2 linked regions of the Drosophila melanogaster genome follow. The protein of the gene in region 2 interacts with the protein of the main gene of each other region in a pairwise test. Each region holds a gene or a part of one and is shown on either strand. Other genes may lie near its edges.

Evidence for each region.
Region 1: the proteins of Rrp40 (region 2) and Rrp46 interact in a two-hybrid assay, tested with the Drosophila melanogaster proteins (one large-scale study listed by BioGRID).

What each region holds. Positions count from the first base shown.
Region 1 is NT_033777.3:10,408,992-10,415,910, reverse strand, and holds Rrp46 (Rrp46), read right to left. Parts: upstream 2,611-6,919; 5' UTR 2,539-2,610; coding exon 2,433-2,538; intron 2,368-2,432; coding exon 2,132-2,367; intron 2,074-2,131; coding exon 1,714-2,073; 3' UTR 1,679-1,713; downstream 1-1,678. Other genes in the region: CG6345 (uncharacterized protein), read left to right, coding at 1-1,678; Irp-1B (iron regulatory protein 1B), read left to right, coding at 3,096-3,102, 3,199-3,291, 4,113-4,282, 4,344-4,559, 4,622-5,132, 5,195-5,295, 5,355-5,471, 5,540-6,194 and 1 more.
Region 2 is NT_033779.5:1,724,643-1,731,427, forward strand, and holds Rrp40 (ribosomal RNA processing 40), read left to right. Parts: upstream 1-4,089; 5' UTR 4,090-4,186; coding exon 4,187-4,885; 3' UTR 4,886-5,120; downstream 5,121-6,785. Other genes in the region: Eno (enolase), read right to left, coding at 699-2,013, 3,004-3,191; CG31937 (uncharacterized protein), read left to right, coding at 5,342-6,307; CG17652 (uncharacterized protein), read right to left, coding at 6,761-6,785. UniProt on the Drosophila melanogaster protein: Non-catalytic component of the RNA exosome complex which has 3'->5' exoribonuclease activity and participates in a multitude of cellular RNA processing and degradation events.

The sequences.
Region 1 (6,919 bases), on a different chromosome or scaffold from region 2:
ATCCGTTACCTCCAGCGCAGCGGGTCAACTAAAATCAGAGCCGGCAGCACGTGCAACTTTTCTGGAGAGGATTCAACGCGGACCGGGCTTCCAAGACTTTTTTGCGGTCAAGCCTGCGTCAAGACTGAAAACTGATGAAGAGGAGCATGTGGACACCAGTGTGCCGTACCTGAACTCGATTGATTTCAATGGAAACGGAAGGAAGGTCCACTTTGAGGTCTACGGATGCCAGATGAACACGAATGACACGGAGGTGGTGTTCAGTATCCTGAAGGAGAATGGTTATTTGAGATGCCAGGAGCCGGAGGAGGCCGATGTCATAATGCTCGTAACGTGCGCAGTGCGCGATGGAGCGGAGCAGAGGATCAGGAACCGATTGAAGCACCTGCGAGCCATGAAGAACAAACGCAGTACGCGGAGGCATCCTCTACAGCTGACACTGCTGGGTTGCATGGCGGAGCGACTAAAGGAGAAGCTGCTGGAACAGGAGCAATGTGTGGATGTAATCGCCGGACCCGATAGCTACAAGGATTTGCCGCGACTACTGGCTATCTCCCGGCATTATGGCAACTCGGCCATCAATGTGCTCCTCTCGCTGGACGAAACCTATGCGGATGTGATGCCCGTTCGCTTAAACTCCGAATCGCCCACTGCTTTTGTGTCCATCATGCGCGGTTGTGACAACATGTGTACCTATTGTATAGTGCCCTTCACCCGTGGACGCGAGCGCTCTCGCCCCCTGGCATCCATTGTGGCTGAGGTCAAGGCATTGGCGGAACAGGGCGTGAAGGAGGTCACCCTGCTGGGTCAGAATGTCAACTCGTACAGAGACAGAACTGCGCAGGAGGAACAGGACTCACTGAAAGCAACTCCAGTGCCCGGTTTTAGCACTGTTTACAAGCCCAAAACAGGCGGGACTCCCTTTGCAGCATTGCTCCGATCCGTGGCTCAAGCTGTTCCAGACATGCGCATCCGTTTCACCTCGCCGCATCCGAAGGATTTCTCCGACGAAGTTCTGGAGGTCATCAGAGATCACCCGAATGTGTGCAAGCAACTTCACCTGCCAGCACAATCGGGCAATACCCAAGTTCTGGAAAGGATGCGACGTGGTTACAGCAGAGAGGCTTATCTGGAACTTGTGCAGCACATCAGACAGTTTTTGCCCAACGTGGGGCTGTCCAGCGATTTTATCTGCGGCTTTTGCGGTGAAACGGAAGAGGAGTTCCAAGACACTGTATCTCTTATCCAACAAGTGCAGTACAACGTGGCCTACTTGTTCGCCTACAGCATGCGAGAAAAGACCACTGCCCATCGGCGCTACAAAGATGATGTGCCCATAAACGTGAAGAATGAGCGACTGCAGCGCATGGTCCAGGTTTTCCGAGAGGGAGCTACACAGCTACATCGTAAAATGGAAGGCCAGGAGCAGCTCATACTTATAGAAGGGAAAAGCAAGAGGTCCGATGCTCACTGGTTCGGTCGGAATGATGCCAATATCAAGGTCATAGTTCCTTCTATATATGTACCCATATCTGGAGATTCCACAGCCAGAAAATCGTTTGGAGTAGGTGACTTTTTGGCCGTCCGCATTGAGGAATCCAACTCACAGGTGCTGAAGGGCACGCCCCTCGAGCTGAGCAACATAACCGACTTTCACAGCAGACAGTTAATACAATAAAATGAGCTTTAATCGTAGTTTCAGTTGTTTTAACATCACGTCTCATTGACGTCCTCCTTCTTAGCCGTCGCCTCACTCCTGCCATGATACTTTGCAACCTGGTTGCGATAGAACTGAAAGATCTCGGCACTGGCAGCCAGGCATAGGCACTCAATATCATTGAACTGGGCTATTTTGAAAGAGCCCTTTGTCTGGATCAACAAAAGGTTTCCTTCTACAGAATCAAAGGCGAATGTAAAACTGGCGCGCTGGTGGAGGGTTTCACTTTGGTCCGGATCTAGCACATACTCGCCCTGCTCGTTGATGATGGCGTGGACAGCCGCAAAGCTATACTTTAAAGGCAGGCCTCCGATGAGCATGGCTAGGCAGGCGCAATTTACGGCGCAGGCATCAATCTGATAGAATATATATATTGTTAGAAGGATTACAGATGAAGGAGATTCAAAAACATACACTGCCACGATCTTCCAGCTCCTGGATCTGCACGGACATCTTGGAGCGCGGATGAGCCTCCGACAGGAGGGCCAGTTCCAGCACATCCCGAATGGCCGCCTCCCGAATCCGATCGGTAACCTGCGGCAGGCCCGCTTTTGGTCGGTAGTTACACTCCAAGTAGCTGCCATCTATGCTCAGGTTTTGGGTCTTCACCTCGATGGGGCCGAGAACTGCGCCTATGAGACCTGTAGCACCTGAAATTGGCAAGACCATGTTAGCCGGTTCTGGCCATGTACTAGAGTTGAAAACACGGCTATACCCTGGCTGTACATCACGGATCCGTCGCAACGCGACAAGGGATTGAATTCGCAGTGCATCTGGCGAAGCTTATCCTTTTCCACGTCCATTTTCGCTGGTAAATTCATATTATATTTTCCTAATATTCAAAGAAAACAACGTGCGCGTGCTATCGCCTCGTATTTTCGATAACGATTTCAATTTTCCCTCGACATATCGGTGCAATATGATGTTGCGATTGCACGAGCTCTGTCGATTACTGATAGGTTTGGCGGGTGGAGTTTTCATTTTAAAAATGAACCATATGTTATACAACTTTCAATTATTTTCGTCGATTTAGTTTACTGATAATTGCACAAATTTCAGGCTTTTCAAAAGATGGTGTATTACATAAATATCCGAATAGTTATTACTGCATTTAATACATATGATAATAACATACCAAGCGCAGAACACTATAATCTCATTTTAGAAAAAGAGAAGTGAACATAAAGCTATCGTTTTATAAAATATAATGCACCATATATAATGTATAAAATGCACTGTCGATCCGACTGGCGATATACGCAACTATCGCTGGCTATCGATAGACAGCGAAGGCTGGCCAGCTCCTATCCGAACTGCTTCTCCAATCAGTTTCTTGCTTTGCTCGTCCGGAATAAGTTCAGTAAAGAGTTCCAATAAGATGTCAGGTGGGTTGCCAGTCCGGAGCTTTGCAGTTCCCTCGACTACCATATACCCTGTCCCCCGAATCCTGTGGCTTATATAACACATTCGTATCGTCGCAGGCGCCAATCCCTTCGCCCAGTTCGAGAAAACTTTCTCCCAGGCCGGCACAACATACAAGTACTTTGACCTCGCCTCCATCGATAGTAAATATGGTAAGTGGATGTGGTCTTAAGAAGGCTTTAAAAGTGGGCGTGTCTGTCTACGTGGTCGCAATAAACTAGGCTAAACATGCATATCAAAAATGGGATTAATTAAGCACCTGTTGAAGTTGGAGTTTGACCCCTGAATTGAAAAAGAAGCGTAGAAGAACAGCTCAATTTGCAAGTCAGGCAATGTCAAGTAGAAGGTGCTCCCGGAGCATTAAGTGGATTTTCTATAGTTTTCTATGGGCGGGCTTGTCTTGCGCCGAAAGCGAAAGTTATCACCGCCAGATTGCCTCATAATGGGGCTCGTCTAGCGGTGATAACGAATCGTGTGCCTCCGAAATTTGATTTCCATTTCCCAATTTTACGTGCTCACTTATCAGCGAATTAAAACTTCGCAGATCTGCTGATTTGGGGTCGTAGTCCGATGACTCCGAAAAATCTCAAGATCAGTGGAATGTTTTTACTGGAACCGCGCGTGTCCAGAAATCGGGGTTCTGAGGTGAGGGCTTCTTTGGTGGCTCCTCCCATATAGTGACGCCTGTGAATCGCATTAAGTGCTGGACAAACGTAATCATTGTGCCTGTGATAAGAAGTGACTGCTATCTGACTAGCACACTTTAAACTAACTAAGGTGGACGGTTATAGAAAAAGGGAGGTTCTTTACTCTACTCGTGAATTTTAATTCAACAAGTGCAACTTAAAGGTTTTTTAAAGATACATACGTTTAGTGCGGCAAATTGTCTTAGGTCCTCTCACCAAGAGGCTTTACTGTACCTGTGATGAAATTCTAAACACTTTGATTAACACTTAACATTTCCAACGCGTAGATCAACTGCCCTACTCGATCCGAGTGCTCTTGGAGTCGGCGGTTCGCAACTGCGACAACTTCCATATCCTAGAGAAGGACGTGCAGAGCATCCTGGGATGGTCGCCCGCCCTCAAGCAGGGATCCAACGATGTGGAGGTGTCCTTCAAGCCGGCCCGTGTCATCCTGCAGGTGAGTTTCATACGGCAATCTAGCAAAGTAATATTTAAATTATATAATATCTTGCTACTAGGACTTTACTGGAGTTCCTGCTGTGGTGGACTTTGCAGCTATGCGCGATGCTGTTTTGGATCTGGGCGGCGACCCGGAGAAAATCAATCCCATCTGCCCCGCCGACTTGGTCATCGATCACTCGGTCCAGGTGGACTTCGCCCGTGCGCCTGATGCTTTGGCCAAGAACCAGTCACTGGAATTTGAGCGCAACAAGGAGCGCTTCACCTTCCTGAAGGTTACTTTTCCTTAGCTTATTATCCAGATAGTATTTTTAATAATATTGTTTTTCCTAATTAGTGGGGAGCCAAGGCCTTCAACAACATGCTGATCGTGCCACCTGGCTCCGGTATTGTCCACCAGGTGAATCTGGAGTACTTGGCCCGCGTGGTGTTCGAGAATGACGCAACCGATGGCTCCAAGATTCTGTATCCCGACAGTGTGGTGGGCACTGATTCCCATACCACGATGATAAATGGATTGGGCGTACTTGGTTGGGGAGTGGGAGGCATCGAAGCGGAAGCTGTGATGTTGGGCCAATCGATTTCCATGTTGTTGCCCGAGGTAATTGGCTACAAGTTGGAGGGCAAACTGAGCCCACTGGTCACATCCACCGATCTGGTGCTGACCATTACCAAGCACCTGCGCCAGTTGGGTGTGGTGGGAAAGTTTGTGGAGTTTTACGGCCCGGGAGTTGCGGAACTCAGCATTGCTGACAGGGCCACCATCAGCAATATGTGTCCCGAATACGGAGCCACCGTGGGATACTTCCCCATCGATGAGAATACTCTTGGTTACATGAAGCAGACAAGTACGGAAAACCAGACTGTTTCATAAAACAATATTTTACCTATATCATAACAAACTTTTTAGATCGGTCTGAAAAGAAGATCGACATCATTCGCCAGTATCTGAAGGCAACTCAGCAGCTGCGCAACTATGCTGATGCGGCCCAAGATCCCAAGTTTACTCAGGTTGAAATTGCCTTACATATACCACTAAAAACTTAAGCTAACATACATCCCTTCTACAGAGTATCACCTTGGATCTGTCGACGGTGGTCACCTCCGTTTCGGGACCCAAGCGTCCTCACGATCGCGTTTCTGTCTCCGACATGCCTGAGGATTTTAAGTCGTGCCTGTCCAGCCCAGTAAGTTTCAAATTCATTGAGAAAAAGGGAATTAAATTAAACATTGTTTTGCTCCACCATTACCTTAGGTGGGTTTCAAGGGATTCGCCATTGCTCCGGAAGCTCAATCCGCTTTTGGGGAGTTCCAGTGGGATGATGGCAAGACCTACAAACTGCATCATGGATCTGTTGTCATTGCGGCCATCACATCCTGCACGAACACATCGAATCCTTCGGTGATGCTGGGTGCCGGTCTGCTGGCCAAAAAGGCCGTTGAGAAGGGTCTGAGCATCCTGCCCTATATCAAGACCTCGCTGTCGCCTGGATCCGGTGTGGTTACCTACTACCTGAAAGAGTCCGGAGTCATTCCCTATCTGGAGAAGTTGGGCTTCGATATTGTGGGCTATGGATGCATGACCTGCATTGGTAACTCCGGTCCTCTCGAGGAGAATGTGGTGAACACCATCGAGAAGAACGGCCTCGTGTGTGCTGGAGTTTTGTCCGGAAACCGAAACTTCGAGGGTCGCATCCATCCCAACACCAGGGCCAACTATCTGGCCAGTCCTCTGTTGGTGATCGCATATGCCATCGCAGGACGCGTGGACATCGACTTCGAGAAGGAACCTCTGGGAGTGGATGCCAATGGCAAGAATGTGTTCTTGCAGGACATCTGGCCAACGCGATCGGAGATACAGGAAGTGGAGAACAAGCATGTAATCCCCGCCATGTTCCAGGAGGTGTACAGTGAGTACTTCGTGCGCCATCTTTATTTGAGTTTGGTTTAATTTCACTTCCATCTGCAGGCAAAATTGAGCTGGGCTCCCAGGATTGGCAGACTCTGCAGGTGTCCGAGGGCAAGCTCTTCTCCTGGAGTGCCGATTCCACCTACATTAAGCGACCACCCTTCTTCGAGGGCATGACCAGAGATCTTCCCAAGCTGCAGAGCATTCAGAAGGCACGTTGCCTGCTCTTCCTAGGCGATTCCGTCACCACGGATCACATCTCGCCGGCTGGATCTATTGCTAGAACCTCGCCTGCTGCCCGATTCTTGTCCGAGCGGAACATCACACCCCGTGACTTCAACTCGTACGGATCGCGTCGTGGCAACGATGCCATCATGTCGCGCGGCACCTTCGCCAACATTCGGTTGGTCAACAAACTGGTCGAAAAGACAGGACCCCGCACCGTGCACATTCCCAGCCAGGAAGAGCTGGATATCTTCGATGCCGCCGAGCGGTACCGCGAGGAGGGTACTCCTCTGGTCCTCGTTGTAGGCAAGGACTACGGCAGCGGAAGCTCTCGGGATTGGGCCGCCAAGGGTCCCTTCCTGCTGGGCGTCAAGGCGGTGATCGCGGAGTCCTACGAGCGCATTCATCGTTCCAACCTGGTGGGCATGGGCATCATTCCGCTGCAATTCCTGCCGGGACAGAGTGCCGAGACATTGAACCTGACTGGCCGGGAGGTGTACA
Region 2 (6,785 bases):
TCAGATCCATTCAATCTTAATCCAAATCCAGAAAATGTTTTAAGATAGTTGCCTTTACTTTAGTTGCCCTTACTTGAGTTTACTTGATTATCTGGCAACGCCACAAGTGATCGAAGAAAAGAATTCAGTAACTTTTATACTTTTTATTTCACATCAACTAACAAATCTGAATATGTTTAATATTTGGTGTACTATTCCATCTGATTAAGATCTCTATTGAACACCGTGTATATTCGATAAGAATATTCCAACAGCTTTCGCTTAAATTCTATGTCTCAACAATTGTTTCATAACCGTTTTTGAAGTGAATAACTTGTCTGTTTGTGGATTTGGTGTTTGTGTAGATCAATTTATAATTTCATAACGATTACAGCGATTACATTGAAGATATTCAAAGCTCTCGGCAACTGAACGAATATCTTGCACATAGTGTTTTTTATTCTTTTGTTTATAAATAATGATTAGATCAAGGTTTAGCATTAATTAATAATGTCTAAGAACGAAGCATAGAGACAGCAAATGGGTTTGGTAGTTTAATTCTGATGTATTTGTGCGCCAGACACAAGTTCCGAACGTAAAAGGTTGACGAACACGTGCACCGCCGCCTTTCCATGGATCTACTGCGTCCAGCTCCCTCTCCAAGATCCAGATCTCATTCGATGGGGCTGGTGTGGTTGGAATTTCGAAGTGCCCTGCGCTTACTGCGGCTTCCTGAACGACTTGCCGGCGAACTTGACGCCAGCGCCGATCTCCTCCTCGATGCGCAGGATCTGGTTGTACTTGGCCAGACGCTCCGAGCGGCATGGAGCTCCGGTCTTGATCTGGCCGGTGGACAGACCGACGACCAGGTCACCGATGAACGAGTCCTCGGTCTCACCGGAACGGTGGGAGACCATGGTGCCCCAGCCGTTCTTCTTGGCCAGCAGATGGGCGGCAATGGACTCGGTGACGGTGCCGATCTGGTTGACCTTCAGGAGCAGGCAGTTGCAGGCCTTCTTCTCCACGGCGGTGGCAATACGCTTGGGGTTGGTCACGGTCAGATCATCGCCCACGATCTGGATGTCGGTGCAGCCGGTCAGGTTGGACCAGGCCTCCCAGTGGTCCTGGTCAAAGGGATCCTCAATCGAGACGATGGGGAAGTCCTTAATAAACTCCTGGTACAGGTTGGCCAGCTTGTCGGCGGGCAGCCACTGCGACTTGTCGCTCTTCTCGTTCTTGAAGTCCAGATCGTACTGGCCATCCTTGTAGAACTCGGAGGCGGCCACGTCCATGCCGATCTCGATCTTGCCGGTGTATCCGGCCTTGGCGATGGCATCGCTGATCAGGTTCAGAGCCTCCTTGTTGGACTGGATGTTGGGGGCGAAGCCGCCCTCATCGCCCACAGCGGTGGCGTCCAGACCGAACTTGGCCTTGATCACATTCTTCAGGTGGTGGTACACCTCGGAGCCCATCTTCATGGCCTCTGTGAAGCTGGTGGCGCCGGTGGGCAGGATCATGAACTCCTGCATGGCCAGCTTGTTGCCGGCGTGGCTGCCGCCGTTGATCACGTTGAAAGCGGGCACCGGCAGGATGATCTCCTTGTTGCCAGCCAGATCGGCAATGTGTTTGTACAGCGGCACGCCCTTCTTGGCGGCTCCAGCCTTGGCCACGGCCAGGGAAACGCCCAGGATGGCGTTGGCTCCGAACTTGCTCTTGTTCTCGGTGCCGTCCAACTTGATCATGAAGTTGTCAATGGACGCCTGGTCAACCACATCCAGATTGGCCTTGATCAGCTCGGGTCCCAGGGTGTCGTTCACATGGCCCACGGCCTTCAGCACCGACTTGCCATGGTAGTTGGCCTTGTCGTTGTCGCGCAGCTCCAGGGCCTCGTGGACGCCAGTGGAGGCGCCGGAGGGCACGGCGGCTCGGAAGAGTCCCAGCTCGGTGGTCAGGTCGACCTCCACGGTGGGGTTGCCACGGGAGTCGTAGATTTGACGGGCCTTGATCGCTTTGATGGTCATCTCGTTGCTGTCACTGAAATCAAAAAACAAAAAACAAAGTCCACGAGGGCGAATTAGTGTCTGTTATCAGGACTTTAAATCTAGGCATGGTGTTCTATTAAATAGCTGACCGCAGATGAAGCCATTCAGATTTTATGGCGGATGTGCTCCACAATATTTGCGAAATCCCCGCCATTACTTAAATAGTTGGGCTTATTTATATTTAAAATTGTTCCAAATGGACAGTTAAATGATATGTTTCGTGATGCAGTGAAATATTCGGAAATATGTCGAAAAAGAAATACGAACTAGAAAGGAAATGGGAGATACACCTTTGACATACTTTTGGACTTGGTTCTCAAAATATGGTTAGATATTAATAAAAAATTATTTTTTTTTGCAAAGAATTGTAGCTGTGAGCATGTAAGTCACTTGCAATTTGAGCTGTGAGTGGTGTAAACTTATACATATATCCCCATTCGGGTGTGACTTTCTCCACGGTATAATCTCGAAATGCCCCTCCTGAGTTTTCTATATTTAATTTGTCTTCAAATTTCAGTTAAATATTTCTATAATAATTTAGAGTCACTGACACTGGCGGCATTTCCCGCTTTTCCGCTTATCTCAGTGGGAGAGTTTTCAGTTTGCTCTCGCCGAACAACCGAATGACCTCTAAGCTACTTTTAAAGGTCAGACCCAAAGTGAGGCGTCCAGCGAAGCCGCAGTACGTGGAAAAGTTGCGAAAAACGGAAGTATCTCCCTACAGCGATACAACAAATGCCTGTCAATTGAAATTATTAGATTTGTGCAATTAAATCGATTGGAAATATACGTAAACGAGACACTTGAAAATTTGCACAGCACCATTTGTTAGATAATCGCGCGGATATCGCTCGCAAAAAACGCTCGATTTTCAAGCCCTTTCGATTGGGGTGATCTTTGTGAAGTTCGCAGATAAAACAATTAAATATTTTCCCTAAGCTGGATGCACAAGCACACACCAAGAGTCTAGCAATATACATACCAAGTACTTTTGCGGATCTGCACAAATTTAAATCCAGATGAGAGCTGGCTGACTGCTGATTTGCTTCTGAAACGCGGCGCAACGTTTGCCGATTTATTCTGGGGAATTCTGGGGAGAGGCCAGCGCAGACGCAGAAACTTCATGCTAGTGGTGGAAGTCCTCAAGAAAACTGAAGCGGTCCAAGACATGGCTTGAATGTGTAAAAGACGGCGGCGAAAGTGCTACCAATTTGTATCTTGATAAAGGAGTAAAAAATATCATTTAAAATATATATTTTAGTTACCTTACATGAAACTATAGCTCTGTTGCAAGCTATATGATAAATTTAATATTCATAAATTTTAAAAGCTCAGCTTAGGCGATGTATTTTTGCCCATCTCTAAGTGTGGAAAAGAGAGGGACACTTACATTTACTCTCCTTTTATATGTATGCGTTTCCAGGTGCTCGCCGGTTTTCAGTGTGGGGGTGCGCTTTCCCTTTTTTGTTGTTTTCCCTGGTACGTTTCCTATATTTTTTGGGGAAAATTGACCTTCGCACAAGGTTAGAGTAATCGGGATCCACACGTAGCTGTGGATTGCATGTCTATCTACATAATAATAAATGCTCTCGTTAATAAAGCATAAACAATCAAATGGCGTCAAGAGAAGTGTAACAACCAATGATAATGAAATGTTCCCGTGGTTTCTGGACAATCGGGTCATTCAAAGTCACATACTTGTGGTTAGTCACGCTTTTTAGCTGCCATAAATTAGAACAAATAAATGCAAAGCGGATTTTAACAAATCGTACGATTATGCTTATAGCAGCACAGCTGATCGGGAAAAAATTGCATATGTGTTGGTTAACATTGCCGCCCACACGCTGTTAGCTCTTTAAAACTTTCTTTGCATTTTTAAGATCATTCAGTAATATAGAACAATTACAATTTGACTAAATATAATTTTTCTGTTACTTTTTTAAGTTCATCTTAATAATTAAAATCGTAAGCATTTTGAAAATAATAAAATAAGAAGGGGCAAAAATAATTTGAATATTTATGTTCTTTACAACTACTGTTAAATTTAACTTTAAGACCAGGGCTGACAATGGCAGTGTTGGAAAGTCCTCGACTTGACCATATGTTTTGAAAGACACACGCGGATTTTTTGTTTGGAGTTTTCAAATCGTAAAAGCAACATTAAAATGAGCGCGACCAGCACAATAGTTATGCCCGGTGAGCGAATTGCGGCCATTGAGGAGCTGGCCAAGAGCAAGCGGGTGATACTCGGACCGGGACTGCGGCGTCTGGATGACACGGTGGTGGCTAGCAAGGCGGGCCCACTTCGACACAAGGAACCCGGCACCTTCTGGGTGGACAACTACCAGAGAAGGTACATCCCGGCACGCGGGGATCTCATTCTGGGCATTGTGCGAGCCAAGGCGGGCGATCTGTACCGCGTGGACATCGGAGCAACGGACACAGCCTCCATATCGTATCTCGCCTTTGAGGCGGCCAGCAAGAAGAATCGCCCGGATCTGATCCCCGGTGATCTGATTTACGCGAGAGTCCTGAATGCAAGCGCGGACATTGAACCGGAGCTGGTCTGCGTCAACTCGGTGGGCAAAAGTGGCAAACTGGGCGTCCTCACCGATGGATTCTTCTTCAAGTGCAGCCTGAATCTGGGAAGGATGCTGCTGCGGGAAAACTGCCCTGTTCTCGCCGCTCTTACCCGGGAACTGCCCTACGAGATCGCTGTGGGAGTCAACGGCAGGATATGGTTGAAGGCCCATTCCCTGAAAGAAACCGTGGCCCTCGCCAATGCCATTTCAGCGCTGGAGCAATCGGGATGTGCGGAAATCGACAAAATATGTGGCAATCTCGGAGACTTCCTGCAGGCCTAGGATTAGTTCTTAGTTTACTTACTTTTATATAAAAAGAAATGGTTAGCCAAACTGATGGGGTTGAATTTTGATGTGAATGTTGGCGCAAAGGCAGTGTGTTGGAAGCCCTGATTCGTTTACGTAAAAAAACTATCAGAGATGAGCAGATGGAAGCGTTTTTCGTATCTTGGATTATGCTCTACATGTTCTCTCAAGAAAGATAGTACTACCCTTACCTAGCTACCAAAAGGTATTTAAATAATATAGCATCATTCAAAAACCAAGTATAAGGGTTTTATGTCAGATAAGGTGACTACTTTCCGCAGTCACTGCGTCACCTCTGGTGCCCACCAACAGCTGATCGATCAGACCCGCTCGCAGTGATTTCTGTGTGGCCAAGAACAGGTTTCAGTGCCTTCCGTTGCGGCAGAGGACAAAGGTTTCTCCGACCCAGCCGTGCCATACAGAGCCAACGAGATGAGCTTCCTGGAGTTTCTGCTGCTCCTGCTCGTGCTGTACTATGTCGTGTACGTGCTCCTCTGGATCCTGCTCGACTGCAATGTGGCCCTGTGGTACAAGTCCCGTTTCGGAGTCTCGCTGTCGTCGATGCGCGGACAGGTGGTTTGGATAACTGGTGCCTCGAGCGGAATTGGCCGCGCTTTGGCGCTCAGCTTGGCCAGGCATGGAGTGAAATTGGTGCTAAGTGCCCGGCGACTGGAGCAATTGGAGCAAGTGCAAGAGGAATGCCTAGCTGCAGCTCGCGGACTGCTGGCCACCAAGGACGTGCTGGTCATTCAAATGGACATGCTCGATCTCGACGAGCATAAGACGCATCTCAACACGGTGCTCAATCACTTTCATCGACTGGATGTCCTTGTCAATAATGCTGGCCGATCCCAGCGAGCCAGTTGGACCGAAGTCGAGATCGAGGTGGACCGGGAGCTGTTCGAACTGGATGTCTTTGCGGTGGTCCACCTCAGCCGCCTGGTGGTGCGCTATTTCGTGGAGCAGAACGGCGGTAGAGGACACATCGCTGCCACCTCCAGCATCGCCGGCTTCAGTCCAGTGCCATTTTCACCCACCTACTGTGCCGCCAAGCACGCCCTTAACGCCTACTTGCTCTCCCTGAAAGTGGAGATGCGCAAGCTGGATGTGTCGCTCTTCGCACCGGGACCCATAGCCACCGATTTCCTGCAGGAGGCCTTCACTGGCTCGCAGGGCGGAAAGGTGGGTCTGAGTACGGCCAATCAGAAACGGATGACGGCCCAGAGATGTGGCGATCTGTTCGCCGTTGCCTTGGCCAATAAGATGGATCTCACCTGGTGCGGCCTCTTTCCCGTCAACCTCTTGGCCTACTGCGCCCGGAATCCCACGCTGAGCAAGATTCTGGCTCAATTGATGACCGAGAAGACGCTGAACAAGATTCGCGAGGGCAAACTGTGAGAACAACCCCGGTGTGCCTCGCCCCTTCCCTATTCCTGCTCCAAACGGCTCTCAGTCATCTTTTATACTGTTGTATAATTCTTAACTATATACTAAAATATATAAATATGTGCACAAGATTAAGTTGAGTGTGCGTTTCAATCGCGATAATCTTCACAGGCACAGTGGGATTCTACAGTTCCTCCCATTCAATTGGTGAGCAATATTGTGGTAAGCTAATAATCAATTAAGATTTATGAATTCTAAAATATTCTAGTTAACTTAAGTCATTAACCAGTAATTTAGTAATCTATCATCTGGTTCAGATGCATAGATTTTTTTGCCATTATAGAAGAGGGCATATTACACTCAGGTGGCTAGTTAAAGCAGCTCCTCCCACATTATAATGATTTGTCAAGACTGCAGATTACCTTGCATTATCTTATATTTATCTACTTGATCAACCATTCTAATCTAATCTTTTCCTAGCGCTGCCTTG